Arabidopsis thaliana: one gene and its partner. The protein of the gene in region 1 purifies or fractionates together with the protein of each later gene. This does not show direct contact. Each region holds a gene or a part of one and is shown on either strand. Other genes may lie near its edges. The genes, in order: RSR4 and EMB1241.

The links.
Region 2: the proteins of RSR4 (region 1) and EMB1241 fractionate together in Arabidopsis thaliana (co-fractionation; one large-scale study listed by BioGRID). This does not show direct contact.

What each region holds. Positions count from the first base shown.
Region 1 is NC_003076.8:171,277-175,468, reverse strand, and holds RSR4 (Aldolase-type TIM barrel family protein), read left to right. Parts: upstream 1-1,805; 5' UTR 1,806-1,963; coding exon 1,964-2,893; 3' UTR 2,894-3,580; downstream 3,581-4,192. Other genes in the region: AT5G01420 (Glutaredoxin family protein), read left to right, coding at 1-583. UniProt on the Arabidopsis thaliana protein: Catalyzes the formation of pyridoxal 5'-phosphate from ribose 5-phosphate (RBP), glyceraldehyde 3-phosphate (G3P) and ammonia. The ammonia is provided by PDX2.
Region 2 is NC_003076.8:5,838,570-5,843,892, reverse strand, and holds EMB1241 (Co-chaperone GrpE family protein), read left to right. Parts: upstream 1-2,034; 5' UTR 2,035-2,253; coding exon 2,254-2,505; intron 2,506-3,067; coding exon 3,068-3,583; intron 3,584-4,120; coding exon 4,121-4,333; 3' UTR 4,334-4,554; downstream 4,555-5,323.

The DNA of each region.
Region 1 (4,192 bases):
TCACAAAGATGATGGAAATGCCCTTCAGATTGTAAATGCGATCAGGGAAGAAGTCATCGGAGAAGAAGACATTGGAAAAGACGGAAATACCCTTATGGATCCGTTGTTGGAATTCGAGGAACGGTGTCCTCCGGGAGGAGAGGAATCCGTTGTTTTCTACACAACGACTCTTCGAGGAATCAGAAAAACGTTCGACGATTGCAACATGATCCGATTTCTGCTGGATAGTTTTAAGGTTAAGTACTACGAGAGAGATGTGTCGATGCATAGAGAGTATAGAGAAGAGCTCCGACGAATCTCAGCGGCGGAAACAGAGGTGTTGCCTCCGGTTCTGTTCGTAAAAGGAAGGTGTATCGGTGGAGCTCAGAGAGTGTTGGGACTGCACGAGCAAGGGAAGTTTAAGATTCTCTTTGAGGGCATTCCAATCACCGGAGATGAACGTTGCCGGCGGTGCGATGGTTTTAGGTTTTTGATGTGTGATGGATGCAGAGGTAGTCGCCGGATTATCTCTGGTGATGGATCAAGAATTCAGTGTTTGATATGTAATGAGAATGGGTTAATTGTGTGCGTTGGTTGCTCCTAATACCATTTTTTTTGTTTGGTCTATATATATCAAATTACATTATTCGTTTATTATTTTTCTTAGTATTGTAACGATTTTTTTATACAGAAAATAAATATGGTCATCAGTTATATCATATGGTTGTTTCTACACAAATCTCAAGTTATTATTGCCTTAAAAAAGAGTTTGAATTATTGACACGAATTGCACTAAATTTATAGCATTTGTTAATGTTTATAATTATATATGATGTGTATAAAGATTAACATACCGGTGTTAGTAGCAAAATTTTTGCAACATCCACTAAGATTGTCATCCATAAACTACATTTATTTGAGAATTTACCCTTATTATTTGATTTAATCATCGATCAACCACTTAACAAAACGTATTCACTAATTCGATGAATTGCCAAATACTTAAATATCTGAATGGTATAGTTACAGTGAAGTAGTCAAAAGAGCAAGTTGGGCCGCCAGGGTCGGCTGAGTGGACAAATCTACTGATTGCAAAGGAGAGGCGGGCCTTCCTTTTCAACCACAGCCGCCTATTTCTCTATTTACTTTTATCATCACAAACTGCTATTTTTAGATTTTCTTTTTAAGAGATTTTTTCCTTTATTTCAAATTTTTTTTTCTAGGATTATAAAACTTAACGTACTATTGTATAAAAATGAATTTCTCCTACTCCCAAATGTAGTATCTTAAAAATCCCATTCCAAAACGATTGGTTGTAAATTGTTTGATAAAGAAATATAAAGATGTTTGTTATGAAGAAAATGATGCTTTCCATAACATTTTTTCCAAAAGCGTGCAATTCATTTTCTGCTAACATTTTTTCTCCTTGTCTTTTATGCAACAATTAATGCGGACTAGAGCGACAGTCGTGGATTCTATGAGGTCCAGTTACATTTCTTTGTGTCAGAAGATTTTTTTCCAAAATTTTTTCCCTAAAATCTATTTAAAATAAGAAAAAATAAATTGTGAAAACGTTTTAAAACATCATTAACAATGCATTTAACACTTTTATAATCCAATTCCGGACGACTCATTTTTTCTTGTCAAAACCTCTAGTTTAGTTGGCTAAAATCTTAAAATGCAGTCCACTAAACATGTGTTAATCGAAAAATCGAAATTGTGTTTTAATCTTGACCGTCCGATCACAACAAAATCCCACACTTTCCCAAATAAAAATTAAAAATTCAATAATTAAGGAGTTTCTATTTAATTAATAAAAATAGAGAAAAACATCTATTTTATTATTTTAGCTTTTATTCACACCGCCACAAACTCTCACTATAAAGCCGATCCATAGATAAACGAGGACCGGCCAGAAATCGCTTCACCATTCCCAAATCTCTCTTCCATTTTCTCCACACAAATTTCTCTTCAATCTCCGATAATGGAAGGAACCGGCGTTGTGGCGGTGTACGGTAACGGTGCGATAACGGAGGCGAAGAAATCTCCCTTCTCCGTGAAGGTCGGTTTGGCTCAGATGCTCCGTGGTGGTGTTATCATGGATGTCGTCAACGCCGAGCAAGCTCGTATCGCCGAGGAGGCTGGTGCTTGCGCCGTCATGGCTTTGGAGCGTGTTCCTGCTGATATCCGCGCTCAAGGAGGCGTCGCTCGTATGAGCGATCCACAAATGATTAAAGAAATCAAACAAGCCGTTACGATTCCGGTGATGGCTAAGGCTAGGATTGGTCATTTCGTTGAAGCTCAGATCCTTGAAGCAATTGGAATCGATTACATCGATGAGAGCGAGGTTTTGACTCTTGCTGATGAAGATCATCACATCAACAAGCATAATTTCCGGATCCCGTTCGTTTGCGGTTGCCGGAATCTCGGCGAGGCTCTGAGGAGGATCCGTGAAGGTGCGGCGATGATTAGGACCAAAGGTGAAGCTGGAACCGGTAACATTATTGAAGCTGTGAGGCATGTGAGGTCTGTTAATGGTGACATTAGGGTTTTGCGAAACATGGATGATGATGAGGTTTTCACTTTCGCTAAGAAATTAGCCGCTCCGTACGATCTCGTGATGCAGACTAAGCAGCTTGGTCGTCTTCCTGTAGTCCAATTCGCCGCCGGTGGAGTGGCTACTCCGGCTGATGCAGCTCTCATGATGCAGCTTGGATGTGATGGTGTCTTTGTTGGTTCTGGTATCTTCAAGAGCGGTGACCCAGCTCGTCGTGCACGTGCCATTGTTCAGGCTGTGACTCATTACAGTGACCCTGAGATGCTTGTGGAGGTGAGCTGTGGGCTTGGAGAAGCCATGGTTGGGATCAATCTCAACGATGAGAAGGTTGAGAGGTTCGCTAATCGCTCCGAGTGATCAAAGAAATAAAAGGTAAAATATCTCAGACGAAATGGTTTCAGAATTTTCTCAGACCATTTTGCAGTAATCTCTTTGAAAAGAAGAAGATGATGATATTGTTGGTAGTTTGTATCCTTTGTGTTTTCCTTATAATCTTTGATAGTCTTTTGTTATTGTAACTCGTAATCCCTTTGCAAGAACAAGTTTGTCAGTTATAATAATGTACTACTCTCTTGATCGATCAGTTGGTTTTGAATCTGATATATTCTTCGATCCATTGGTATTGACCATTGAGCTTGTTGTTCAATTACATTTCAGACAGGCCTATTAGTACTTAGTAGTATCAGGTTGATAAACAAAGGATGAACTTGTTTAATTTGGGAATTCGTACACTGGTACTGAGCTCTGTAGATGTTTGAGACTTTGAGTATTGGATTTGGTTTTGAAGAACTGTCCTGGATTAGATTCACATAGCCTCTAGTTCTTATTTTAAATTTGTGATTTCAGGCATAGCTGTCAACCTAACAAAGGAAGATAATATGAGTTGAGTTTTCTTTGTTGTTAACGAGTACTAATCATCGATTTCATGATGTGTGGATTATGGTTTATGGGGGGTTCTTTGCAGCTATGTTTGCATTGTAAATTGGTTTTTATGAAATGCTATGTTAATGTGTGATTAGTAAAGGAGAAGAGTTCATGGGACTCTTCTAGCTTTTAAAATCCATAAGAGTCCTCTAGCTTTGAAAATCCATGGGACTCACTCTTCTAGCTTTGAAAATCCATGGGGCTCTTCTAGCTATGGGATTTCAGATCTCATGCGCGGTAGTAGCATACGATCATCGGAATCCATAGAGCTCTTTTGTTCAAAATCGAGTTCTTGAAGGTCTTACACGACACCATGACTTAGGGATACGAGTATATATCCCTTGACTTCAGCCTCTAAGCTCTTGGCTCTGCCGGATCCAATTTCTCCAAAGAGCATTACTTCAAAGTTCAAAAGGTTCTCACTACTAACAGGTTAATTTTGTTAACCGAGATCAACCAAAATCAAACAAAACTTAACCAAATTGTAAATGTGATTTGATTGCACATCACTCGCATTTTGTCCAAAAAGACTCCGGTAAGACCAGAAACACGGATACAATTTAAATATCAATCGAAATAGGCCCACATCGGCCCATTATTACTGCACATTGGCCTATTTAATCAATTCACTAACTATATGAGACTTATATAATATACTATCAAATATGAGGGACCATAACACAATTTCTTTCTTTATCCAAACGACGTAGTGTAACTATTGATCAGTCTCCT
Region 2 (5,323 bases), 5.7 Mb from region 1:
ACAAACTTGACTACGAGAAAACTAGCTGAGGGTAGGATTTGAACCCAAAACTTGGTCATAATCCTTTTTGAGTTCCCAAAATTCACTGATAGTGTTAAGCGGAATCGTTCATTCAAAATATATACTATATGTAGGCTATTTGGGAATATCTTATACACTTTTTTGTAAGAAAATTAGACATATTTATCTATTGTTTTTAAAAAAAAATTGTAAAAAAACGAGATCTAAGTTTATTGTCAAGTTAAACAAATAGAGAATTACGGGACGATAAAAAGAAGGAAACTAAATGATTAGAGACTTTATTTTTATTTTTCTCAATCGACGTGATGACCAATTTGATACAGACTCATAATCTATATGATATACCCAGGTGGAAGACCCATGCGTTGCATGCGTTAGAATTAATATAATAAAATACAACCTGTTGTTTAGCTGTTTCTAATTAATATTGAAATATGTTTAGCTGTTGAAAACATATAGAGGTTACCTTTTATTTTTCTCTAACTTATTCATCTCATCTAGTTTATCCAACTCTTTTTTATTATTCAGCTTATCTTTATTCAACTTATCAGTACTCATTTTATTCAGCTAGTTCAATTTGTTAATCACCATTGGAAACTTTTTAGGTGTTTATTTTTAGAAAATACTCTTCATTAAATCTCAAAAGTTCATAAAGTTTTTGGTGTAAACTACTAATTGGAGATTCGATCTAATGTTTTATAAAGTATTTTATATGGTTTAATAAGATTTTAGAAGGTATTTAAAAATGTTTTACAAGGTATTGTTTTACAAGGTATTTATAAGTTATTTTTATACTGTATTTATAAAATATTTATAAGTTTTTACACACATATAAAAGTAGTTTGTATACTTTAATAAAGTTACACACATATTTGAATAAACCTCATATTCTTAGGAGTACTTTTAATAAACAATTAGAAATATAATATTTTTGAAAAGTGGTATTCGAAAAGATGCTTTTGAAATTCTTCCTTTATTTAGCTTCCAATTCTAAACATTTGAACTAAACTATTTGATATTCAATTTTAAAAGCTTATATGGATTGTCACCTCCAAACATATGCTAGATATTTACTTGAGAATTTTTGATAAACATCTACTTACAAAATTTTAACTAAAATAATATATTGAGAAATTGGAAAATGAAAAAGTAAAATGGTCGAAGAAGAATATCTTTTATGATATGTTAGCCTCAACAACGGGTGATATTTAATAATTAGTTTAAAACTTTAGTCACTTTGTAGTTAATACTTCTGATTTAGGATTAAGGTCCGTTGCACCCACTACTTCTGACAAAACTAAGTGTGCGGACTTAGAAAATAGATTAAACATGGATGGTCTCCTATCTCTTTGTTGTCAACCCAAACCGGCAAACCCTGATATTCTCTTATTACTTTTCATCTATAACATATTGAGTACTAGTACTTGACCAAAACAAACATTTAACTATATAGTACATCTCTTTGGGCTTAAGGAAACCCTTTTGTAAATAAAGCCTAAGCCCAAATTGTAGAACTAGTTATAGTCAATAACACAAAATTGCTTCTAAAAATTTCCCAAATCTCAAGTCTTATTATGTTATTTTCAACAACGATATGCATGAGATCATGATACAATTTGAATCTGCAATAACAAAACTGATACAAATTGGTAAAAACATATTTTATTGTCGAAAATGTTTGAAACATTCAGATCCAAAAGAAAGGCAAGGCGAAATTGATACAACTACAAATCATTCAAATATTCTTATGTCAGAACAACAGTTCCTGGATAAATTTGCTCCCACTTGAAGAAAAGTGTAGTCATCGCTAGAGAAGATGAAGAGATTCGTGATGAAGTGGACTTGGAAAAAGAGTTGAACCATAAGAGTGGAAGACAACTTACAAAGAGTTTGGAGACATCATACCAGGAATCAGTTAGATCATTGGCATAGAACATCGAACAGCCTTCTCGAGTATTAATTTACAGAGATTTTATTGTATTATATAAAATATTCACAAAACTGTAGAAGTTTCAAGAAAATCTAAATCCGACGGTTGAAAAACTCCCTACGTAATCTCTGTTGAACAACAACGGTCCGATCAACATAGTAAAAACGAAAAGTAAATCCAACGGTTAAAAAAACGAAACAAAACAAAAGATCCGACGAGGAAGAGTAGAACCGTTTGCCCTCTCTCTCTCTATCTTCCTTATCTCTCTCCGCCACTCTCCTTCTCTTTCTCCGAACTCTTCGATGGCCGGTCTACTCAAAACGCCGTCTTTACATCTCACACCAACTCTTCTTCATGCTCCTTCTGTACCCTTTAAGCCCTTTTGCGTATCTTTCGCCGGAGGAAGAAACGTTAGCGTCTCACTCTCTCGCCGAGCTTCTCTCCGGTCTGTCTCTAGCGGCTATCCTCTCCGCTTACTAAACCTCGTACCCTTTGCTTCGGGAGAAGCTGAGACGACGGAGACGGAGGTGGAATCGAACGAACCCGAAGTTCAGGTTTTTCGATTTCGGCTCACTTCTGTTCAACTTTCTTGGGGGTTATTTCATTGTTAGTTCGGTGATTAGGGTTTCGAATTTGGGATATGGTAATTTAGAATTGCTTGTTGTTTGCTTAAATTTTTAAGCTTTATTGATTATATTACCCTCTGAAGGAACGTTCACATGAATTAGAGCAATGAATAGGATTGTATTCAGTCTATTCAGGAGTCAAATGGTGAATGCTAATGTTTCTTAGGATATACCAAATCCGATGAATGACAGATTTCATATTCTTGTGGTATGGTGTGTTCCCAAAATGAAGGAGTTTCACTAGTAGTTTAAGACCATGGTGTGTATGTACTATCCAAATCGAATTTTGATTTCGTGATTCTTGTATGGGGGCCACAGAATGTTCTGAAGCTTTTTTGGTGTTAATCTGATTGTTTAGGAGGTCATTAAAAAATTGTGTCGTTAGTGTGTGTTCTGTCTCAGCTTTTATCAGGAATAGATAGGAAACGTCTATGTAAACTGGATTGCTCTTTTTCTGATTTTTTGTTTCACTTCTGAAATCATGGAGCAGGAGACGGATGGTGCTGTTGATGTCGAGAATGAAAATGCCAGTGCTGAGGAGGGTGAAGCTGAGGAAGAAGAAGCAGCTGTTATCACAGCGTTGCTGAAATCCTATAAAGAAGCTTTAGCAGACAACAACGAGGGGAAGATTGCTGAGATAGAAGCATCTTTAAAGTCCATAGAAGATGAAAAATTTCTGCTTGCGGATAAAGTAGCGTCTTTATCCAATGAGTTATCGGTGGAGAGGGATCGGCTTATAAGAATCAGTGCAGATTTCGACAACTTCAGGAAGAGGACTGAGAGGGAAAGGCTAAACCTTGTTTCAAATGCTCAAGGAGAGGTTGTAGAGAATCTTTTGGCTGTTTTGGATAATTTCGAGAGAGCTAAATCCCAAATTAAGGTGGAGACTGAGGGAGAAGAGAAAGTCACTAATAGCTATCAGAGCATATACAAACAGTTTGTAGAAATTCTGGGATCACTTGGTGTTATCCATGTGGAGACAGTCGGCAAGCAGTTTGATCCAATGGTTAGTTACTATGATATCTTTTCTTCTTTCCGGAGATCGACAACTGTATTTTTGTTGCTCAGCTTGCTGGTGGTTTTAATTTTTAACTATGGACGTGATCTTTAAAATCAAAGTTGTTTTGGAAGTTAGGATAATTCGTTGCTATAGGGCTGCCGGAATAATCTTGAGCAGAACGTAGATATGGTTGTTACTTTGAAAGTTAGCTACATCAGATGGATGGAACAAATTATGCTGAATGATACTTTTGTGATGCAAATGATCAATAAATCTTTGAGGTTTAGGATCACTTATCTCAGTTAGATGCCTTTTGGTTATCGCAAAGCTTGAAATACATAACCACTTATGCGTCTAGTCCTAAGCATGAATCTGCTAAAGTTTTGGAGACTTTAGATGTAAGATGTGGTTGTTACTTTTGCAAGTTGGGTTTAAATGACAATGAGTTGGTAGATATCCTTTTGTTTGTTGGTCTTTTCAAGTCCCTAACAGCTGACATCTCTTTTTTATCCTTTTGCTTTTCTCGTTGTTGTGTGAAAAAAGCTACATGAGGCAATAATGAGAGAAGACTCTGCGGAATACGAAGAGGGTATAGTACTAGAAGAATACAGGAAAGGTTTCTTGCTAGGTGAAAGGCTTTTACGTCCTTCAATGGTGAAAGTATCAGCTGGACCTGGACCAGAAAAGCCCCTTGAAGCTGAAGGAGAAGAAGCCACAGCACAAGGAAGCGCAGAAGAAGAATCATCTTCATCTTGAAATTGAAGATGATCAAGACTCAGCAGTTTTGTGTGCGTGTGTGTGAGAGAGATACAGAGATAAAAGAGGGAGAGGTCTGTTTTACCATTATTGTTGTTATTGTTATTGATACGTTATATCATTTCTACAGAGTCTAGAAGTAATATAGATCGACATTTTTAATGAATTCTTAAGTATTCAATCCGAAAGGGAATGCCATAATTGATTTTTTTTCATCTCTCTATACACAGCTAGAAAATTCGGAAGATTCAGAGAAAATGTTGATAATTGGAAGTTTGGAACAAACAGAAAGTCAATACAGTAAATTGTATTTGAGTACTATGGCCTACGAGTCCAAATTATTGTCCAAGTTTTCTTCTTTTGGTTAGGGTTCTTTGGGTACTTAAATATCTTAAAGAGGAGTTGTCCATTTTGTGTAAAGAAATGTTAGGGCCATGTATGTTGGGTATCTTGGATTGGATTTTTTTTTCTTCTTTCTTTTGTTATTTTTTGGATATTTCTAGTAACGTTGGGATCCATGCATAATGCATTAAACCGGGTAATAGAATAAATAGTGTCATACAGTGAAAGTGTGAAACAATCAATAGTAAATTTTATCCTCAATGATGATAATATATCACATAATTTTTGGATCGGATACGAGGTGTAATCGGCCGGTCCATCTTTAGTCTCCTAGGACAATGCATGTCTTGTGTGAACGTACAAGTACAAATGTTGATTTGCGGTTCTGTTCCGGTTTTTGGTTATCAGATTTCAATTTTTGGAGAAACGTGTTAACCAGAAGCGAACCGAATATATTTGTATCCAGTTGTTGACTAACAAATGTTACAGAATTGTTTTGTTGTCAAGAAGTAAGTAGAGTTTATGTATCAGTTATGATTTTCAAAGTTTGCGAGGAGAATCTTTTCCAGATTTTTTTTGTTAAACCAAGACAAGAGTTAGAAGAAGAATTCTATGCTTCAAAAGAGCCATGTGGGGGATATGCCACGT